4 linked regions of the Caenorhabditis elegans genome follow. The protein of the gene in region 1 interacts with the protein of each later gene in a pairwise test. Each region holds a gene or a part of one and is shown in the gene's direction. Other genes may lie near its edges.

The links.
Region 2: the proteins of skp-1 (region 1) and rack-1 interact in a two-hybrid assay, tested with the Caenorhabditis elegans proteins (one study listed by BioGRID).
Region 3: the proteins of skp-1 (region 1) and smex-1 interact in a two-hybrid assay, tested with the Caenorhabditis elegans proteins (one study listed by BioGRID).
Region 4: the proteins of skp-1 (region 1) and cpr-6 interact in a two-hybrid assay, tested with the Caenorhabditis elegans proteins (one study listed by BioGRID).

Annotation. Positions count from the first base shown.
Region 1 is NC_003283.11:11,643,601-11,650,647, forward strand, and holds skp-1 (mammalian SKIP (Ski interacting protein) homolog), read left to right. Parts: upstream 1-1,880; 5' UTR 1,881-1,897; coding exon 1,898-1,917; intron 1,918-1,962; coding exon 1,963-2,119; intron 2,120-2,164; coding exon 2,165-3,250; intron 3,251-3,299; coding exon 3,300-3,396; intron 3,397-4,178; coding exon 4,179-4,306; intron 4,307-6,254; coding exon 6,255-6,374; 3' UTR 6,375-6,490; downstream 6,491-7,047. Other genes in the region: Chromosomal passenger complex protein bir-1, read left to right, coding at 1,163-1,285, 1,330-1,674; Transcription factor zip-10, read right to left, coding at 6,603-6,911, 6,963-7,047.
Region 2 is NC_003282.8:10,175,048-10,178,408, forward strand, and holds rack-1 (Small ribosomal subunit protein RACK1), read left to right. Parts: upstream 1-1,632; 5' UTR 1,633-1,662; coding exon 1,663-1,777; intron 1,778-1,825; coding exon 1,826-2,009; intron 2,010-2,052; coding exon 2,053-2,200; intron 2,201-2,252; coding exon 2,253-2,783; 3' UTR 2,784-2,828; downstream 2,829-3,361. Other genes in the region: mspn-1 (Mitochondrial sorting homolog), read left to right, coding at 2,923-3,057, 3,101-3,221, 3,267-3,361.
Region 3 is NC_003283.11:8,293,220-8,297,616, reverse strand, and holds smex-1 (LITAF domain-containing protein), read left to right. Parts: upstream 1-1,650; 5' UTR 1,651-2,736; coding exon 2,737-2,873; intron 2,874-3,003; coding exon 3,004-3,128; intron 3,129-3,603; coding exon 3,604-3,773; 3' UTR 3,774-3,863; downstream 3,864-4,397. Other genes in the region: W02D7.4 (aralkylamine N-acetyltransferase), read left to right, coding at 95-217, 263-467, 512-584, 628-715, 762-839, 884-1,015; srg-33 (Serpentine receptor class gamma-33), read right to left, coding at 4,101-4,226, 4,278-4,397.
Region 4 is NC_003284.9:6,605,290-6,609,563, forward strand, and holds cpr-6 (Cathepsin B-like cysteine proteinase 6), read left to right. Parts: upstream 1-1,917; 5' UTR 1,918-1,962; coding exon 1,963-1,965; intron 1,966-2,014; coding exon 2,015-2,090; intron 2,091-2,137; coding exon 2,138-2,232; intron 2,233-2,275; coding exon 2,276-2,371; intron 2,372-2,564; coding exon 2,565-2,906; intron 2,907-2,960; coding exon 2,961-3,233; intron 3,234-3,280; coding exon 3,281-3,498; intron 3,499-3,644; coding exon 3,645-3,681; 3' UTR 3,682-3,756; downstream 3,757-4,274.

The DNA of each region.
Region 1 (7,047 bases):
AAGAATCTAAACTGTTCAAGTTAAAAATTGATTTTCGATTATTTTTGAGATTACTCATTAATTAGTAATCATAAATAATATTATTTACCGTATTTCCTCTATTAGTAAGGCATGCAAAACTAATTTTCGGACACCTAATTTGATGCAAAACTAATAGAAGGTGCTAAACTAATTTTCGAACAGGTTTTTTCTCATGTTTTCCATTAAGTTATGACATAATATCATCAATTTCAATAACAACTTATGAACCAAAATGGACGAATTTTACGACTGATACGCAAAAATTGTCCGAATTGTACTCATATTTTGCCAATTTTGACTTGTTATACCAAGTCTGTAAGAGTTTTCCTAATTTTTAGAACGATTTTATAATGCAAATTTTAAATTCCTAAAAATAGGGAACAAATGGAGGGGTGCAAAACTATTAGAGGTGCAAAACTAATAGAGCGTGCAAAACTAATTTTCGATTAGTGATTTTAGATGCAAAACTAATGGAGGTGCAAAACTAATAGAGGTGCCTAACTATTTAATAGAGGAAATACGGTAAATTTCAGTTTTAGCCAGTTGAGAGAGGTTGAGCCGCAGGCTCGATCGACACCGTCCGGTTAAAAAGTTAATAGAATCTTTTTCCATTGAATCAAAGTTATTGTTAATTTGTTTAGTTTTCAACAAACTCATTGAGTTTCCTGTCTTCTTGGAGGTTTTGGTACGCGCGCACGTGCGCTCTACTGACCAATGGCCGTGGCCTAGCTTTCTTGGTGGCTGTATATTTCAGCGCGAAATTCGTCAGTGCGACGCGAGCTACATTTATTGATTTTTCAACATTTTATTCGATAAATGTTTTCTGAGATTTGTTTTTCATTTATATTTAAATACACACTGAAAAAATAAAACCACGTGGCGTGGATGCGCGAATTTCATGAAATTAAACTTCATTTTCGAAATCTATTAAAATACGCCACGAAGTTTTATTATTTTCAATGTAAGTCTCGTTTTATCTTTTCCTTTTATCAATCGATTTCAACGCTTTCAACTTATTTTTTTGGAATTGTGGTTTTTAGTTCAAATCTTCTTAACTGTATTTCGAATTTTTAATCTCTACCTGTTCGAAATAGATTCCTCAAGATTAAGATACCTAGTTGTTTTTCATTGATTTCAGAAAATGGCACCCGGGACCAAAAAAAAGTCGGATATGGCAAAATTCACATTCTACAAAGATCGCTTGATGACATTCAAAAATTTCGAATATGATAGAGACCCGGATGCAAAATGCACGTCTCAAGCGGTTTGTCCATTTTCGTGTTTTAAATAAAATTATTCTTGTTTTAGGTTGCTCAAGCCGGATTTTACTGCACCGGTCCTCAGTCTGGCAAATGTGCATTTTGCAACAAGGAACTTGATTTTGACCCAGAAGACGATCCGTGGTACGAGCACACGAAACGTGATGAACCGTGCGAGTTTGTACGGATTGGAAAGCTCGATGACTCGGAATTAACTATTAACGATACCGTTCGTCTCTCACAAACCGCCATGATTATGACTAAACTCTTTGAGCATGAGATGATGATAAATAATTTGTCTAATCATTCTTCTTCTGATGCTCTCTTCGATCAGCTGAAAAAAGTACCGAACACAGCATCGACAACAAAATCTAACAGCCGCCGCGGCAAATAATTTTTCTACATCACTTACTGCAACTTATCCAATTATTGATTTGATCTCATATACTCGATTTAATCACTGTTCAATAAACACTTAATTCATTATTTTATTATTCATTCAATGTTTTTGTTTTGAAATTATAACTTGTGTTTCATCGGCACTACAATATCTTCCAGTTTTGTATTTGATTCTTTTTTTGTCTAAAAAAACAATTTCAGGACAGTATTTCATCAGGATGTCGATGAAACTACGAGAGTGAGTGTATTTCACTGATTATCATGTAAAACCAATGTTTTTTAGTATCCTTCCTGCTCCTGTGGCGGCAGACGAAGCAGCTTCACAGATTCGACGAGATCCTTGGTTTGGTGGGCGCGATAACGAACCATCCGCCGCACTCGTATCGAAGGAACCACCGCCGTACGGAAAACGGACCAGTTTTCGACCAAGAGGGCCTGAAGTGAGATTGAAAATATTAATATTCTTCTTAATTTTTCTTTTCCAGGATTTTGGCGATGGCGGAGCGTTCCCTGAAATTCACGTTGCTCAGTTTCCTCTCGGATTAGGTCTTGGAGATATGAGAGGAAAGCCAGAAAATACGCTCGCCTTGCAATATGGAACTGATGGAAAGTTACAACACGATGCTATTGCTCGTATCGGACATGTTAAGGATAAAGTTGTCTACTCCAAGCTTAATGATATGAAAGCCAAGACGTGGAACGAGGATGATGATGATATTCAGAAACCAGACGATGACGCTGTTATCGATGCTACGGAGAAGACAAGAATGGCTTTGGAAAAAATCGTAAATTCAAAAGTAGCCTCAGCACTTCCTGTTCGTCATGCCGACAAGTTAGCACCTGCTCAATATATCAGATACACTCCAAGTCAGCAGAATGGAGCTGCTGGATCACAACAGCGCATCATCAGAATGGTTGAAGAACAAAAAGATCCGATGGAACCACCAAAGTTCAAAATCAATCAGAAGATTCCTAGAGCACCACCATCTCCACCGGCACCAGTCATGCATTCTCCTCCAAGAAAAATGACAGCTAAAGATCAAAACGATTGGAAGATTCCACCATGTATTTCAAATTGGAAAAATCCAAAAGGATTCACAGTTGGGTTGGACAAACGATTGGCTGCTGATGGACGTGGTCTCCAACAGACTCATATTAATGAAAACTTTGCGAAGCTTGCTGATGCTTTGTACATTGCTGATAGAAAAGCTCGTGAAGAGGTTGAGACACGTGCTCAGCTTGAAAGACGCGTTGCTCAAAATAAGAAGTCTGAGCAAGAGGCTAAAATGGCAGAAGCCGCAGCAAAAGCCCGCCAGGAAAGATCAGCGATGCGGAGAAAGGACGATGAAGATGATGAACAAGTCAAAGTTCGCGAAGAAATTCGACGTGATCGTCTCGACGATATCAGGAAAGAAAGAAATATTGCTCGTTCACGACCAGATAAAGCTGACAAGCTTCGCAAAGAGCGTGAAAGAGATATTTCGGAGAAAATTGTGCTTGGTTTGCCGGACACGAATCAGAAACGAACTGGCGAACCACAGTTCGATCAAAGATTGTTTGATAAAACCCAGGTTTCAGTTCCTTCTTCGATAAAATTTAACTAATATATTTATTTTTCAGGGACTCGACAGTGGAGCAATGGACGATGATACTTACAATCCTTATGATGCTGCGTGGCGTGGCGGTGACAGTGTTCAACAGCACGTTTATCGACCGAGTTAGTTTTTCTTGCTTATTTTCAAATATAAATTAAAATTAGTAACGGGTCTAGGTATTTTGAATGTATATATATATATATACCCACAATGCTCTAAAATGAACGAATTTCATAATGAAACGTTCCAGAAGTTTTTCAAAAAAAAAGTTTTATGGCGTTTTAAAATTTCAAAAAAAAACATTATTTTAGCTGAAATCTTATTTTGGCAGTTTATCTTATGCTATTCTAAGGTACATTTAAAATCGAAAGGTTACCGAAATTGATTACCTATGTTTGCTTAAAAAGTACCTCAATTGACGATATTACGTGATATTAAAATTTAAAAAAAGATTATAATTCAAAAAAAATCATTTTTGAACCTCTGCGACACGAAAAATTCGCCAAAATTGATTCATTTTTTCTAAATTTCGAACCGCCATAAAAATCTAAACGTTCAAAAATAACTAGAACCGTTAGTTCTTTAATATTTCAAAATTGAAATGATTTCCTAATGTATGTCTGAACTGAGGAATTTGTGACATTCTAAAATTTATTGTTTTTCTAATTCATTGGTGTTGGAATTCACAAAACTCTTTGATGATACTGATGTATTTGACTTTCATGTCCGTTCTGGTTCATTTGTCGTTAAAAATAGAATCACAACTTAGGTGCCTAGTATTTGATAAGACGTTTGTAGTACTGCAGTCATTACGATTAAAATGACGTTATGCAAATACGAATTTCGAAAATAATTGTATTTTTGTCAAAACAGGAAGAAATGACGATTTATAAAACTTTTGCAGGCAAAAATCTCGACAACGATGTTTATGGTGGCGATTTGGACAAGATCATCGAACAGAAGAATCGGTTTGTAGCTGATAAAGGATTTTCAGGAGCAGAGGGCTCGAGTCGTGGATCTGGACCTGTTCAGGTTAGTCAGTTGATCTGTTGTCAGAAATTTTAACTACGTTACTAAAATAGCTGGGAATTTTGAGAATTTGGGCGCTGGCTCGTTGTTGATGAGCGTCAAAAATTGACTGATAAGTAACGACGAATTGAACCAATTCGTTGATTTGTGCGGTCATTATCATAAATGGATCATTAATTTACGTCATTCCGAAAAGACACGCACAGCAGTGTGTTTTGGAAGTAGAAAAGATTCTTTACATTCTTGGTTTATGAGCTTCAATTGTCGTGCGTAATATGTTTGACATTATTGATAAAATAAGATTAAAATAATTAAAATATGTCAAAGTTCAGTTTTCATCCATTCTCTTTATGGTCGAAATGAACTATTGATGTATTTTAACTCACGATTAATTTGATTGTAAAAGTTAACCAATTTTAGATATTCTAATTAGAGTTATAATAAATAATTATGGATTCATCAATATTGTAGTTTTATACAATGCTCAGAGCTTATTGAACAAAAACTAATTATATCTTTTCTATCATAGCCGATTAGCTTTTCTTTTTACTTAAGTTCGGGATGCAGATTCTCTTCAGTTTAACACATAAAATGTATTAAATTACTTTACTGTTTCTAGTCACATTTCGAGCTGAACGATCAGCATTTTATCGAGTTGTGTCTACGGAGGCTGGTGTTTGCGAGCATCTTTCATAACCCAATCACTATCAGTACTTACGAAATATCACGTCTTATCACCAACAAGCCAGAAGCATTAGAACCAACATGTGATTTACTCTAAAAGTTGAAATGACTGAAATACTAGACAGAACTAGAGCGGTGTTGACTATATTTCGGTCTATTTTTAGGAAATGATAACTTTTTGCTCCGAATATACGTGTAAATGAAACAGCTCAAATCAAAATTTCACTCTCAAAGTGGCATTGTAGTTAAAAATACGTATTGCATTTTTTAACAAAAAAATCTTAGTTTTAGTTTTCGCTTATTATGAAAGTGGACGAAATAAACAGTTGTCCTCCCAGTTTTTATAGTATTTATTCGTATTTGGAAATTCTAGGGATCGAACCTGTAGAAATAATCGAAATTTATCAAAAAATTGAAATTTTTGAAAAATTTGGCATTTACTATATTGAAAACACCAATTTTTCAAATGTTTAAACCATGTTCATAGTTTAGATTTGAACAGGAAACGTATTTTTTTTCCGGAATTGTTTGCAGCGAACTCGGGGAGCTGGGTAAACTTTTTCGGCGAAATGGTGTTAATTGTAGACTAACATCTAAACTGAGTGATAAGCAGTAAGCGGATAAGCCAACGATCATCCGTGTCGATTTATAAATTGGTTCAAGCAGCGTTCAAAGGGCAAAACATTAGATGATGATGATGACAGAAAATACGATTTTCATGCCATTTTAAGAATGACAATGATAATTCTAGTATATTTCATGACAATATTTCCGAATCGTGATTGTGCATGGCATAGTTTCGAAATTTCTTACAAAGTTTATTATAAACTTATCAAGAAAATGATGACGATGCGGAATCGTCTAGAATTACAGGACAGACACGATGGCGGCCGATTTGGCATGTTTGCGTGTGACGATCGAATTGTTGCAGAACGCGTAGAAAATGCTATAATCTGGTCAAAGTGCATTTGATTCCAACGAAATAGTTTATACGCATTGAGTTTAACTGTGAATCGAACGTTATTGAAATTTAGAAAATTCCATCTGCGAAATTGAGTGTGTGGACCCGTAGTATTCAGAAATATATGTATTTACTGAATTATTTTTTTGAAACCTAATTTCTAAAGATTTCATAAGGAAATTGCATAAAAGATGCTCTTAAAATGACTGTGACTACTTCTAAAATTTACTTATCAATGAGTCATAAAACATTAAATGTCACTGTGCATTTATGAATCACTACAAAATGTTAACCTTTTTATTTCAGTTCGAGAAGGATCAAGATGTTTTCGGATTGTCATCACTTTTCGAGCACACCAAAGAAAAGAAACGAGGTGGGGATGGTGGAGACTCCCGTGGAGAATCAAAGAGGTCTCGACGCGACTAATTTTAATATATTTTTTATTTGTTTTCTGTTATTTTTTCTCAACTTCTTTTTTGGAAAGAATCTCTGTAACTCTTCTGTAGTTGGATGTTTGCACAAAGATGAATCAAAACCGTGTCAATTTTTATTAATAACATTTCGAAAGAAGACCAAATTATGTCAGCAAAGAATGAGCGAATTTGAAAAATTATGGCAAAGAGGATTCGGGAGAGGGGAATATTGAAGATGTTCTTAGGAATGGTTGATTTGATTATTGAGTTGCAAAATACTGATCAAGAAATCTTTTTGAGCATTTTCTTGTTGAAGACCACTAACTGCTTGCCGGAGAGCTTTTACTTCCAACTCGAGTTGCTCCTTCTCATCATGAAGACTTTTCACATTCTCCACCTTTTGGCGCATTTGAGCACGGTACTGGCGAGCATAAAGACGGCGATGACGCTTCTTTTGACTGTGAGCATCTTGTCCATCTGCAATTTCTTGTTGTGGTCGACCACGACGGATTTTACCAGGAGCAGCAGAACTTTCAGTTGAAGAGCATCTCTGAAAATACAAATAATATTACAAGATTTTGAGAAAATATGATATGCTTACCGAGCTGGATGTGGTAGATGTTCCCAAAGAAGCAGAACTTTCAAATGGCAAAACAGGCAGATTGATGCTGAATTGAGCAAGCATT
Region 2 (3,361 bases), on another chromosome or scaffold:
GAATTACAAAGTGATAATGATGTCGTCGTGTGCCGATAACAACGTCTAATCTCTATTACTATCAGAGGTTGATTATAAACAATCAGGGGCACTAGACACAGGAAAGAAAAGGATGCAAAAGTTGTGAAGAAGGGAATCAAAGTCTGAGGGGGGGGGGGGCGATTAAACGGGCGGATAGTGAATGCGGCGGCCGCACACACACATAGGGACGGGCATTTGGAGGAATGTGACTAGGAACAACACAGAGGCGAAGAGGACAAGAAATAAATCGGACAGTCTGTGTAGAGGCAAGAAATTGGAGGAGGAAAAGGCGAGGGACGGTGCGGAAAAGCACCGCCAAACCACTGCGAACCGATCAATAATACAACGGAAGGTGCTGCGAAGAAATAAGAGAGGAACGGAAAGTTGAGACGCAGGTTGATTGGGTTAAAGATTGCACTGATTGCAGAGAAGACAGAGAATCGAGTGAAGATTGGCTCAGGAAAGAGTTGATTGTTGACATTCCCATTGGAAAAAAACAGATATCGAAAAAATGTCTAGGAGCAAAAAAATATTTTTCATTATGGGAATTGTTGTGATGTTATTGCTATTGCAAGGTTCTGTTGTTGTATTGAAAGTCAGCTAAAAAATGGGGAATTATTGAAAATATATTGTATTCAAAAATTCTTCAAAATAAAAATGACTTTTTTGAATGAAAAAAAAACTTTAAAATAGTGATGTTGGCATATCAACGTAAAATTTAAGATGAGAAGGTATTAAACATTATAAGGAAACAACTCGAAGATTTTCAAGCACATACCAAAGTTTTCACGGACAATTGGCCAATTTCTACAAGAAGTCAACATTTTTGTCGCTTCGTCAATTTGAAACCCATAAAAGCATGACTAAGCTGACAGGAATTCCACGAAAAAGCAATAGATATGCGCAAAGAACTAGTCTCGTCAGATTTTTCTGGCAATATCTCATGCAGTAATCTTAATATGTCTTGCACACATGCAACCCCGGATGCTGAAATGTTAAACTTTAAAATTCGAGCTCGACACGATGAATTTGAATGGATGGAGAATAATTAGAACTAAACCCACATTACATTGATTTTAATGTAAAAACTAAAGTATTTTTGCTTTTAAATGAGAAAATAATAATTTTTCGAAGAAATCAAACCAGTTTTCAGAAATATTAATTTTAAGGCTCAAATAAATGGCTCGCTAAACTCGAAAACAACTGTCACAATAAAAGCTAAACATAAATAATTGAATAAATAAATAAGTAAATTTAAAAAAGTGTCAAAAACTGCTTCATAGATGCAAATTTACAAGAAAAAGTTAATTTGTTCCGTAAATTCGTTAGTTGGCAAAGTGCCAGGTTAAAGGCGCATAGACTTTCGCTGTGGGGTCTCGCAGCGACTCACCCCTTCTCCTCTGCTGCTGGCTGGCTAGTTTGACGCGAATTTTTAGGACGATTTTTCCTTTTTTCTGTATTTTTCTGTTAAAGCAATGATTTTTTCAACATTTTCAACATTTAATAATTAAAGTGGCTATGTTTTTAACATAATTCGAACAAAATTATGGTTTTCGTTCGCTCTATTCTCCAAAATTTTCATTTTTTTATATGGAACATTTTTATTTTTAGCAGATCGAACGGGGTTACACAGATAGCAAAATGGTCCAAGAGCAAATGAAGCTTACCGGAACCCTCGAGGGTCACACCGGATGGGTTACCCAAATCGCCACCTACACCCGCAACGACAAGACCACTGTCCTGTCATCTTCCCGCGGTAAGTCAATTAATATAACGTTTTCAAATTTATACTCACATTTTTCAGACAAGACTATCCTTGTTTGGGATGTCGACAGCGTTGCTCCAGTCGATGAGGGACCAATCGGTCGCCCAGTTCGTTCGCTCACTGGACATAACCACTTCGTCTCTGACGTTGTCATCTCCTCCGACGGACAATTCGCTCTTTCTGGATCCTGGGACAAGACCCTCCGCCTCTGGGACCTCAACCAGTAAGTAATTCAATAAAAAAACATTGTGCAAACAATTTTATAGGGGAGTGAGCACCCGTCAATTCATCTCCCACACCAAGGATGTTCTCTCTGTTGCCTTCTCTGCTGACAACAGACAAATCGTCTCTGGATCCCGCGACAAGTCCATCAAGCTGTGGAACACTCTTGCCCAGTGCAAGTACACCATCACTGTACGTTTTTTCAAATTCTTTTATAGGAAGATTTATCGAAACTATTGTTTAGGATGATTGCCACACCGATTGGGTTTCCACCGTTCGTTTCTCTCCATCGAACCGCGATCCAGTGATCGTCTCCGCAGGATGGGACAAGGTTGTCAAGGTCTGGAACCTCGGAAACTGCCGTCTGAAGACCAACCACATCGGTCACACCGGATACGTCAACACCGTTACCGTCTCTCCAGATGGTTCCCTCTGTGCTTCCGGAGGCAAAGACGGACAAGCTATGCTTTGGGACCTCAACGAGGGCAAGCACTTGTACACCCTTCCAGGAAACGACGTCATCAACGCCATGTCCTTCTCTCCAAACAGATACTGGCTCTGCGCCGCTGTCGGATCTTCCATCAAGATCTGGGATCTCGAGGACAAGAAGGAGATCGAGGAGCTCAAGCCAGAAATCGCCAGCTCTGGAAGCTCAAGAGGATCCAGCCCACAGTGTATCTCTTTGGCCTGGTCTCAAGACGGACAAACCCTCTTCGCCGGATACACCGATAACATCATCCGAGTGTACCAGGTGTCGATCCGTGCTTCCAACTAATTTGTTACCTGTTAATTCAAAACCCTTCAATAAAATTGTTGATATAATTTTGTATTCAACCATGTCAGATAAATTATTCGCGTTAATCAAGAATATCTAGCAGATGATAAAACAGCAAGGTATACTTGTTATGTTAGAGATGACGGATCGTAATGAGTTGATCGGTGTTGCAATTCGAGTAGTGGCGGCGGCTGCAGTTTCATTTCTATCAGTGCGCTATCTAGTCAAGTACTTGGATCCAAATTATAGTGTGAATGAAGAAAGCAAAAAGAAGGTTTGTAGATTTACAACACTAATTTTGTTTTTTTAATATACAGGTGGCACAGCTGTTTCATGAACTTGGTATCGATCGTCAAATAGAACTCTCAGAGCACGAAATTAGAATCGCCACGCAGTTTGTTGGCGGAGAAGACGTTGGAGCAGATTGGGATGAGATCGGTAGAACAGAAAATTGTTTCGCAAAAAAAAAGAAAAATTTTACAGGTGGCTGCGAAGAACTTGTTGCTGAACTAAAGGATCGCATTATTTTACCCTTGAGATTCGCATCGCAAAGTGGAAGTCATTTATTGTCTCCTCCA
Region 3 (4,397 bases), 3.4 Mb from region 1:
AAATAAAATGTCACTTTATGTTTCCAACACAACAAGCAATATTATCGATACCACTTCGTTCTTTTTGTTCTTTTGAACAACTCAATATAACAATATGATGTTATCCAAAGTTCTTCGAAATTCTCCACTTCTTTTCCGTGTCGCACAACCGAAGGATCATGAACGAATTATTAAGTTTCTGGATAAACATTTTGCAAAGGAGGAGCCATGTTCAAGAGTTTGTTCACAATTTTCTAGTTAATTATTCCGATCACTTGTTCAGGCGCTAAAAATCTCCCCAGAAATATCTCGTGGCGTTTTCACAGCTACCGTAACCCGCTGTCTCACTACACCTTTCTCAACAGTTGTCCTCCAAGAAAATGGTGATTTGGCTGCTTGTCTTTTGGCTTCTGTTTGGAATCGTACTGATCCACTTGAGAATGCTGATTTTGATGATACAGGTCTTCCGGAGAATTTCAAACTTTTTAGTGAGCCGTCGATCCAGATAATAAGTTTAATTTGTTGCTTTCAGTCCAATTTTTGAACAAGGCTCATTTGAACTTTTGGAAAATTGCTCCACCAAACGTCAATTCCATTATTCACAGGTATCCTCGGGACTTTTTTTAAAAATAAAATTGCTGTTTCCAGAGAAATTGGAAGCGTAGCTCCTCAGTTCACTCGACTTGGAATTGCTACCAAAATGGTTACTACTAACATGACAAAACGTAACTTGAAAGTATGTATGTTTCTTTAATGTTTGATAAATGGATTGATTAATTTAGAAATATAACATTGGTGGAGTTCTCTCGGAGACCACATCACTTGCCAATCAAATTGTTCTCGAAAAAGCTGGTTTTAAGGTAGGGAAAGTCACACTTTTCCAGAAATTAAAAGTAATTTATAGTGCCTCAAAGAGTTGCCATATTCGACAATTGTTGATTCAAAAGGAAATCAAGTTTTGAAGTTGGATGATGGTACAACTTCTCTTTGCCTGAACTTCAAACCAATTGAGGAGTACGAGAACTTGCCAGAATAAGAATTCAAATGAAAATAGACTTAATAAATGTTTAGGCACGTTTATTTTTTGGTGAAATACATAATACGATATTAAATGAGTGTCAATAGAATAGTAAGCTACATAACCGAATTTCCATCATATACTGAAATAAACACCTGCCAAAAATTAAATTGATTCTTATTTATCCTTCATAATGTTACTAGAAATCTTTTGTTCGAGCTCTGTGATATGATGTTTCCAAAAAACGAATTCCAGTATTCTTACAGTACTGCTCTTGGGGTAAACTCGTATAGTATTTAAGTGAGATATTTTTTAACTCCAAATACGAATATTTATTATTCACCATATATAAACATAACCATGTGTTACTAAACTTATAGTTGTTCTTTAAAAGTTCTTATTTACATTTCTGTATCCCAAAATAGGTCAAGATCTGGATCATCTCATAACTTGTTAGTACTACCACTTCACTCTCGATATGTACAATCTGTTCCCTTTCCTTTTCCGTAAATCCTGTCATCATATTTCCCGATTTTTTTTTCGAAAGTTTTCCTCATATTGCACACGCAACAGTGTCATCACATTCAGCACACCGTCAACAATAGAGGGATAGAGTTGTGATGAACAATATGAACAATATTCAGAGAGGGATTTTGGTTTGATCAGCCGCTTTCAATTCTCTCCGCTTCTACTAAATCCATACTATTCTCATGTTGGGAGTGCGAATTGGGGAAGTAGAGGGAGAAAAAAAGAGAAAGACACAAAAACGTTGTTCGAGTTTTGTGAAAGGCTAGGAGGATTAAGCCTGTTGGACTGGCTGTTTTTCAAATTCATGGTATACATTAGAATGAGTACATACTCATTCTAATTTGTGGGAATGTTTCGTTCTAAAACTAATCCGTTATCTTTTCTCTTGATTATACTCATGTTACAAATGTTTGTCAAAAGACCATGTCTTGCCCATTTAAATTCCTATTAGCATGTTAAAAAAAAGATCTTAGAGTTAAAATCTGCATAATCCCATCAATATAATACAGAATAACTGGCATCATAGGCATAGTACCTTTTGTAGATCTAAAGATGTCCCACGCTTTTTATGGATTTTCATTCCGACTATTTGGTTTTTTTTCATTTCCAATGCTCTAATGTGTTCTGCTAAAATTTTTCTGCGAGTATAAATTCCATATGTTTTGTTTTCTGAAAATTCAAATTAAATTATCAAAAAATATAGCAAAACAGCTTTGACAATACTTTCAATTCTCATAAAAACCTTTTAAATTGAGGAATAAAAGAACACACTCGGAAATAATATTTAAATTTCATATATTAGTAATTAATCACTTCAAATTTAATTTTCTAGTTCGGTTTAGATTTTATGTAAAACATATTTTCGGCAGTTTTTTATACGTCTATTATGCAATTATTTTTCATGTTGCACTTTTCAATAGAATTGAAATTCCCGTAGTTTTCCCTGTGAAAAACATTTAAAACGATGGGCACAAAAGCAGTGAAAATGGACGCTATAAACACATCCCATACAGCCATTTTCATTGTTATCACCGATTCGCTTCTCTTTTTCGTCTCTTTTCTTCGTCATATTCTTCCATCGCGTTCCCACCAATTTTCTTCGTTCTCAATCGACATCACATCGTGTCTCAACTCTTTCATTTTTTCCCAACAATAACTTGATGGTTCGTCCTACTTTCGTAAACATTAAGCTGCCACTTCGACCTTCATCGATGAGTCAAGAATCATCGACCACCAACGATTCGCCGGGGCCACCTGCCCAACCACAATCGGTTAGGTCGACATCAAAAGCCCCACTGCCAAAATATACATCAATTGATCTGGAAAATGAAATTCCAGAAATGTATAAGTAAGTTAGCAATAATTGTATTTCAAGATTTAAACAAAAACAAATCGTATTAAAGTAAGTCCAGTCAGTTGAGCAAACTCTGAAATCTTTGATCGAATTCAAATATTTTAATAATGAATAACTTTTTCAGTACTTCCCTTAATCCCGGTATTCACGATCCGGATATGACAATGTTTTTCAATAGAAATGCTCCACCATTTCACACAAACTATGCAAAACGACACAGCCCACCACCAAGTTATTCATCGAGATCCAGTGAGTTATTTTGATCGGAAATATTTTAAACACGTATTTATCAGGACACAAAGTGTGTACTACATAAATGAACATGAGTAAAAATAGTAGTAGGCAAACTTTTTCAAATAACTTTTTTGTACCTGAAAGATTGCGAATGTAACGAAGTCAATAAAACATCACTGAATAAACTAATAAAATGTGCAAAATTGGAAGGAATTCGAAGAAAATTGATTTATAGTCGCTGCCACAGAAACAAGCTGTTAAAGTTTATAATTTAAGTTGAATTAGCTTGTTTGTTGTAATATTGAATCCCCATGAGTTAAAGAAATTTTCAAGAAGTCTCTTTGAAAAGTGAATTCATTTGGAATCTAATGATGTAACCTACATAAAATACTTGAATTCAATTCAATTAACACAAAATTAATTTAGATAACTTTGTTAAACTAACTTTGTGAAATACTCCAAAAAAAAATTCGAAAATTTAATATTTCAGAACAGAGCAGCGTCTCCTCTTCAGCAACTCCCACTAAATCAGCAGTGTCTCGGCGAAACTATTTGGCCGGATGCTTCCTTTGTGTATTTTTCGCTGCGCCTATCATTTTCCTCGTAATTTTTTATATGATTCCACGAATTGTTGTCATTGATAGAACCGCGAGGTTCTGAAGAGTCTCATTTTTTCAATGTATAAATTGGGATAGAGATCGGGCAGAATTTCACAAAAATATTTAATAAATGGTACCTTACACTCATAATTTGATTTGACTGTGGAAAGACATGACAACAGAGCAAGCGAAAAAATGTAGGTCACACTAAACCAGCATACAGATCGCATCTCCAAATTTTTAAATTTCTAGAATAGAGCATCATCTCCTCAACAGCAACGCCGACTAAATCAGCCTTTCCATGTCGTGCAGAATTCAAGAATTCAACATGAATAGTTTAATTAGTAATGGTATTTTACAATTAAATTTATTCCAATAAACTTTAAAATTAAAATCGAACAGCGTCCTGTACTTGACTTCGCTTATTAACTGTTACAAAGCGGACAGAATTGGTTGCTGTAACGGCAACCTTCGCATATTTTGGAAAATACATTAGCATGAAACAACGGCGAGCCTGAAAATGATTTGTTGAAGTATGCAATTTCAATTGATACTTCTTGAGTACCTTTGTGCTGAAAGCAAGAAACATCCATGGATGAATCAATGTCAACCCATCACTGATATAAGGAAGAAGAGTCACTGCAATCTGAGACCAGATACCGAATTTGTTATTGTCATTTACCAC
Region 4 (4,274 bases), on another chromosome or scaffold:
ATCAACCATATTGGGCGACATAGAAATATTTCCCATATTAAAATCCTCACGATGGCTGAAAAAGTTTTTTGTGTTTGAATTTTTCGAGTTGTTTTTAGGCTTAGGTAGTAATGTTTCCTGATTTACCAAGATGTTAGGGAGCTATTTGATATTATCATACATTTTTGTTACATCTAAGTACATGAACACAACGTAGCTCAAAAACCAGAAGAGATACAGGAAAGTGGTCAACTGAAGAAAAGTAGCTCTTAATATGTTTTTTTAGTTTTTTAATGTTTGATTTTTTCTAATTTACGAGTTTCTTGAGAAAGCCCCGTTCAAAATTCAAAAATAACATTTTCGAGCATTTTTTGGCATTATGAACAGAGTACCATTAACATGCGACAAACAAGACTACAAAGTTTCTGAAAGACATTTAAAAAAAATTACTTTCAAGAGATTTATGAATTTTCAAAGTTTGGAAAATCCATCTATTTTTGCCTATAAATGGTAGTTTTCATTAAATAATAAAATACGCACTAAAAGGTAGGGCTGAAAATGTACTATTTCTGTAACTACGTGAAGCTTCTTGTACCTACTGGAATTTTGTTAATATATTCTGAAAGAGCTTAAAATTTACTACAAAGTTTCTGAAAGACATTTCAAAAAAAATTACTTTCAAGAGATTTATGAATTTTCAAAATTTGGAAAATCCATCTATTTTTGCCTATTAATGGTAGTTTTCATTAAATAATAAAATACGCACTAAAAGGTAGCTTACCGTATTTCCTCTATTAGTTAGGCATCTCTATTAGTTTTGCACCTCCATTAGTCTTGCATCTAAAATCACTAATCGAAAATTAGTTTTGAACCCTCTATTAGTTTTGCACCTTTAATAGTTTTGCACCCCTTCATTTGTTCCCTAATTTTAGGAATTCAAAATTTGCATTAAAAATCGTTCTAAAAATTAGGAAAACTCTTACAGACTTGGTATAACAAGTCAAAATTGGCAAAATAGGAGTACACCCCGCTGATATGCTCTCAAAAAATTAAATTTTGAATTCCCTCTAAAATGTGTTCAAAAAATTAAATTTTGAATTCCCTCTAAAATGTTTTTTAAAAATTAAATTTTGAATTCCCTCCAAATTGTTATCAAAAAATAAAAATTTGAATTTCCCGCCAAAACTTATGTGTCTCACCACGATGAGTCTAGCAACGACGGGTCTCACAACGATGGGAATCATCTCGAACACCAATCATACTGATAAAGTCATATAACAGGCACCGCCACGTGTGATGACTTAGCAAGACAGGTCCCGAGTCGGACTCCCAACCGCAAATTATGACGTCGCGTGCCAGGCTCTCCCAGAACTGGTGACGATATGTGACAGCCGCGCACCCATGTCATAGAGTAACCAACAGTAGCCTACTGTCGAAAGTATCTTTGAAAAACGTTATCTTTGTTATAATATTTAATATTTGTTAAAAACGATAATTTTGAAGGCTGATTTTTAGTTAAATTATGAAATATTTCTCCCAATAACTATACTCGTTTGATACATCATTTTTACTGTTCAATGTTATTTTTTCAACTGAAACTATAATGTTGGGTGCCATTTTTATCGGTGTCATTCACTGATTTTAAACTGACATCTGACTTTTTATTAGGTTTTTCCATCATATAACCCTTTCAAACGAAATTAATGTGCTAAATCTGTTAAGTTTCAATATTTTCCTTGTCTTTAGGTCAATCTTCTTTGCCACACAGTTCAAACTACTACCGCCGAGTCACGTCACACCATCACAGGATAGTGACCGGTCCTAGGATGTACCCTGACACTGTGATGGACGCAGCCGACACTCTTATCGAAATGCACAGGGCCAAATTTGATAACGAAAACATGTTCTATAAAAGCATGCTGATAAAAGCGAGCAGTCAAGCGACGACAACTTGCGATCAACACGCTGACCGTCGACGCCAACATGGTAGGCTTTTGAACTTTGAAGTAATTTTTAGAGAAAATTTGAATTCTAGAAGACGTTGCTCTTCCTTTCCTGCATAGTGGTAGCAGCTTATTGCGCATGCAATGATAACCTTGAGTCCGTTTTGGGTAGGTTGGATATTGATGAAGCTTTCTGAAAATTTCAATTTATTAAGACAAATATCGCAATCGTGAAATTGACTCAGAAGCAGCTGAGCTTGACGGAGATGACTTGATCGACTATGTCAATGAAAACCAAAATCTTTGGACGGTAAACTTATACTCACAAAATATTCATCTAATGGATTTTTCAGGCTAAGAAACAAAGACGTTTTTCATCGGTCTACGGAGAGAACGACAAGGCGAAATGGGGATTGATGGGTGTCAACCATGTCAGACTTTCTGTTAAGGTATGCACATCAAATTTGAATTCGGTTATTTGAAAACGTCAATTGTTTTGATTGATAGACGGCTTATCACAAAATAGAAGAGAATCAGACTGAAACATCAGGTGATCAAGTTATAGATAGTGATCTTATATTCAAACAGTGCCTATCACTTCACTCACGTGCTCAACCATTCCACCCAAACAGCACTTTTCAGGGCAAACAACACTTGTCCAAGACCAAGGATCTCGATTTGGACATTCCAGAAAGCTTTGATTCTCGTGACAATTGGCCAAAATGCGATTCCATCAAGGTCATCAGAGACCAGTCAAGCTGTGGATCCTGCTGGGCTTTCGGAGCCGTTGAGGCAATGTCTGATCGTATTTGCATTGCTTCCCATGGAGAACTTCAAGTTACACTTTCCGCTGATGATCTTCTCAGTTGCTGCAAAAGCTGTGGATTCGGATGTAACGGAGGAGATCCATTGGCTGCCTGGCGCTACTGGGTGAAGGATGGAATCGTTACTGGATCAAACTACACCGCTAACAATGGGTGCAAGGTACAAATAGTACAAGAATAAAAAGATTTCAAACTAGAACCTAACCTTTTTCAGCCATACCCATTCCCACCATGTGAGCATCACTCGAAGAAAACCCACTTCGATCCATGTCCACACGATTTGTACCCAACTCCAAAATGTGAAAAGAAGTGCGTTTCTGATTACACTGACAAGACTTACTCCGAGGACAAATTCTTTGGCGCCAGCGCGTACGGAGTCAAGGATGACGTTGAAGCCATCCAGAAAGAATTGATGACTCACGGACCCCTTGAGATCGCTTTCGAGGTTTACGAGGATTTCTTGAACTATGACGGTGGAGTCTATGTTGTGAGTTGTACTGTTATTTGACATAAAAACCTGAAAAAAAAATTCAGCACACCGGAGGAAAGCTCGGAGGAGGACACGCCGTCAAGCTTATCGGATGGGGTATTGACGATGGAATCCCATACTGGACAGTTGCCAACTCTTGGAACACCGACTGGGGAGAGGATGGATTCTTCCGTATCCTGAGAGGAGTTGATGAGTGTGGAATTGAATCTGGAGTTGTTGGAGGAATTCCAAAGCTCAATAGTCTTACCTCAAGACTTCACAGGTGAACTTTTCAGCTATATTGCACGTGACATCTAAAAAAAATATGATGTGATTTCGTTTCATGACTCCCATGCCAATGCCCAATTTCCTAAACGGAAACCTACTTTTTATCTACTTAACTACTAAACCAACTTTTTTATGTTTCAGACACCACCGCCGCCACGTCTACGATGACAACTACTGAACCATCATTCCATTTGAACAAAACCTTTATTTCTTTTAAATTTCTATATGTATAAAAATGAATGAGTTAATCAATATTTGCATTATAGAATGTTTCTAGAAGAAGTTCGTGGCCGATAGAACTTTAACTGAAATCCTAACAACACACTAAATCATTTGTAATTCTGCGCTCAGTTCCGATTGTGTCAAATGTTTTGCAAAGTTTTCGTGCTGTTGTTCTCTCCGGCAATATCTTTTTTCTTTCTAGAAACTTTTTTCAATTCTATATATTTAGAATTTTTGCCAACTTTCAGTTATTTAGCTGTAATCGATCAAGAAGCGACCGGGGGAAAACATTGTGGATCAAGTCTCCAAAACATATGGGGAAGAATATGAGAGGGAAGATTGGATTGATTCCTCTATGCGGATGAGAAATTTGATATGCACCATGGGCAACCAACGGGCGACGGATTATGATAATCCGAAAGGAATTAATAAATTGTTTTGTCGGGGCGTCGAATGAAGCCGGATAAAATATGAAATACACCGTTTGGCACAAAGTGAGTGTGGCGGCGGATTGAGTGTTCCCGGATTGCTCATATGCCTGCCTGCCGT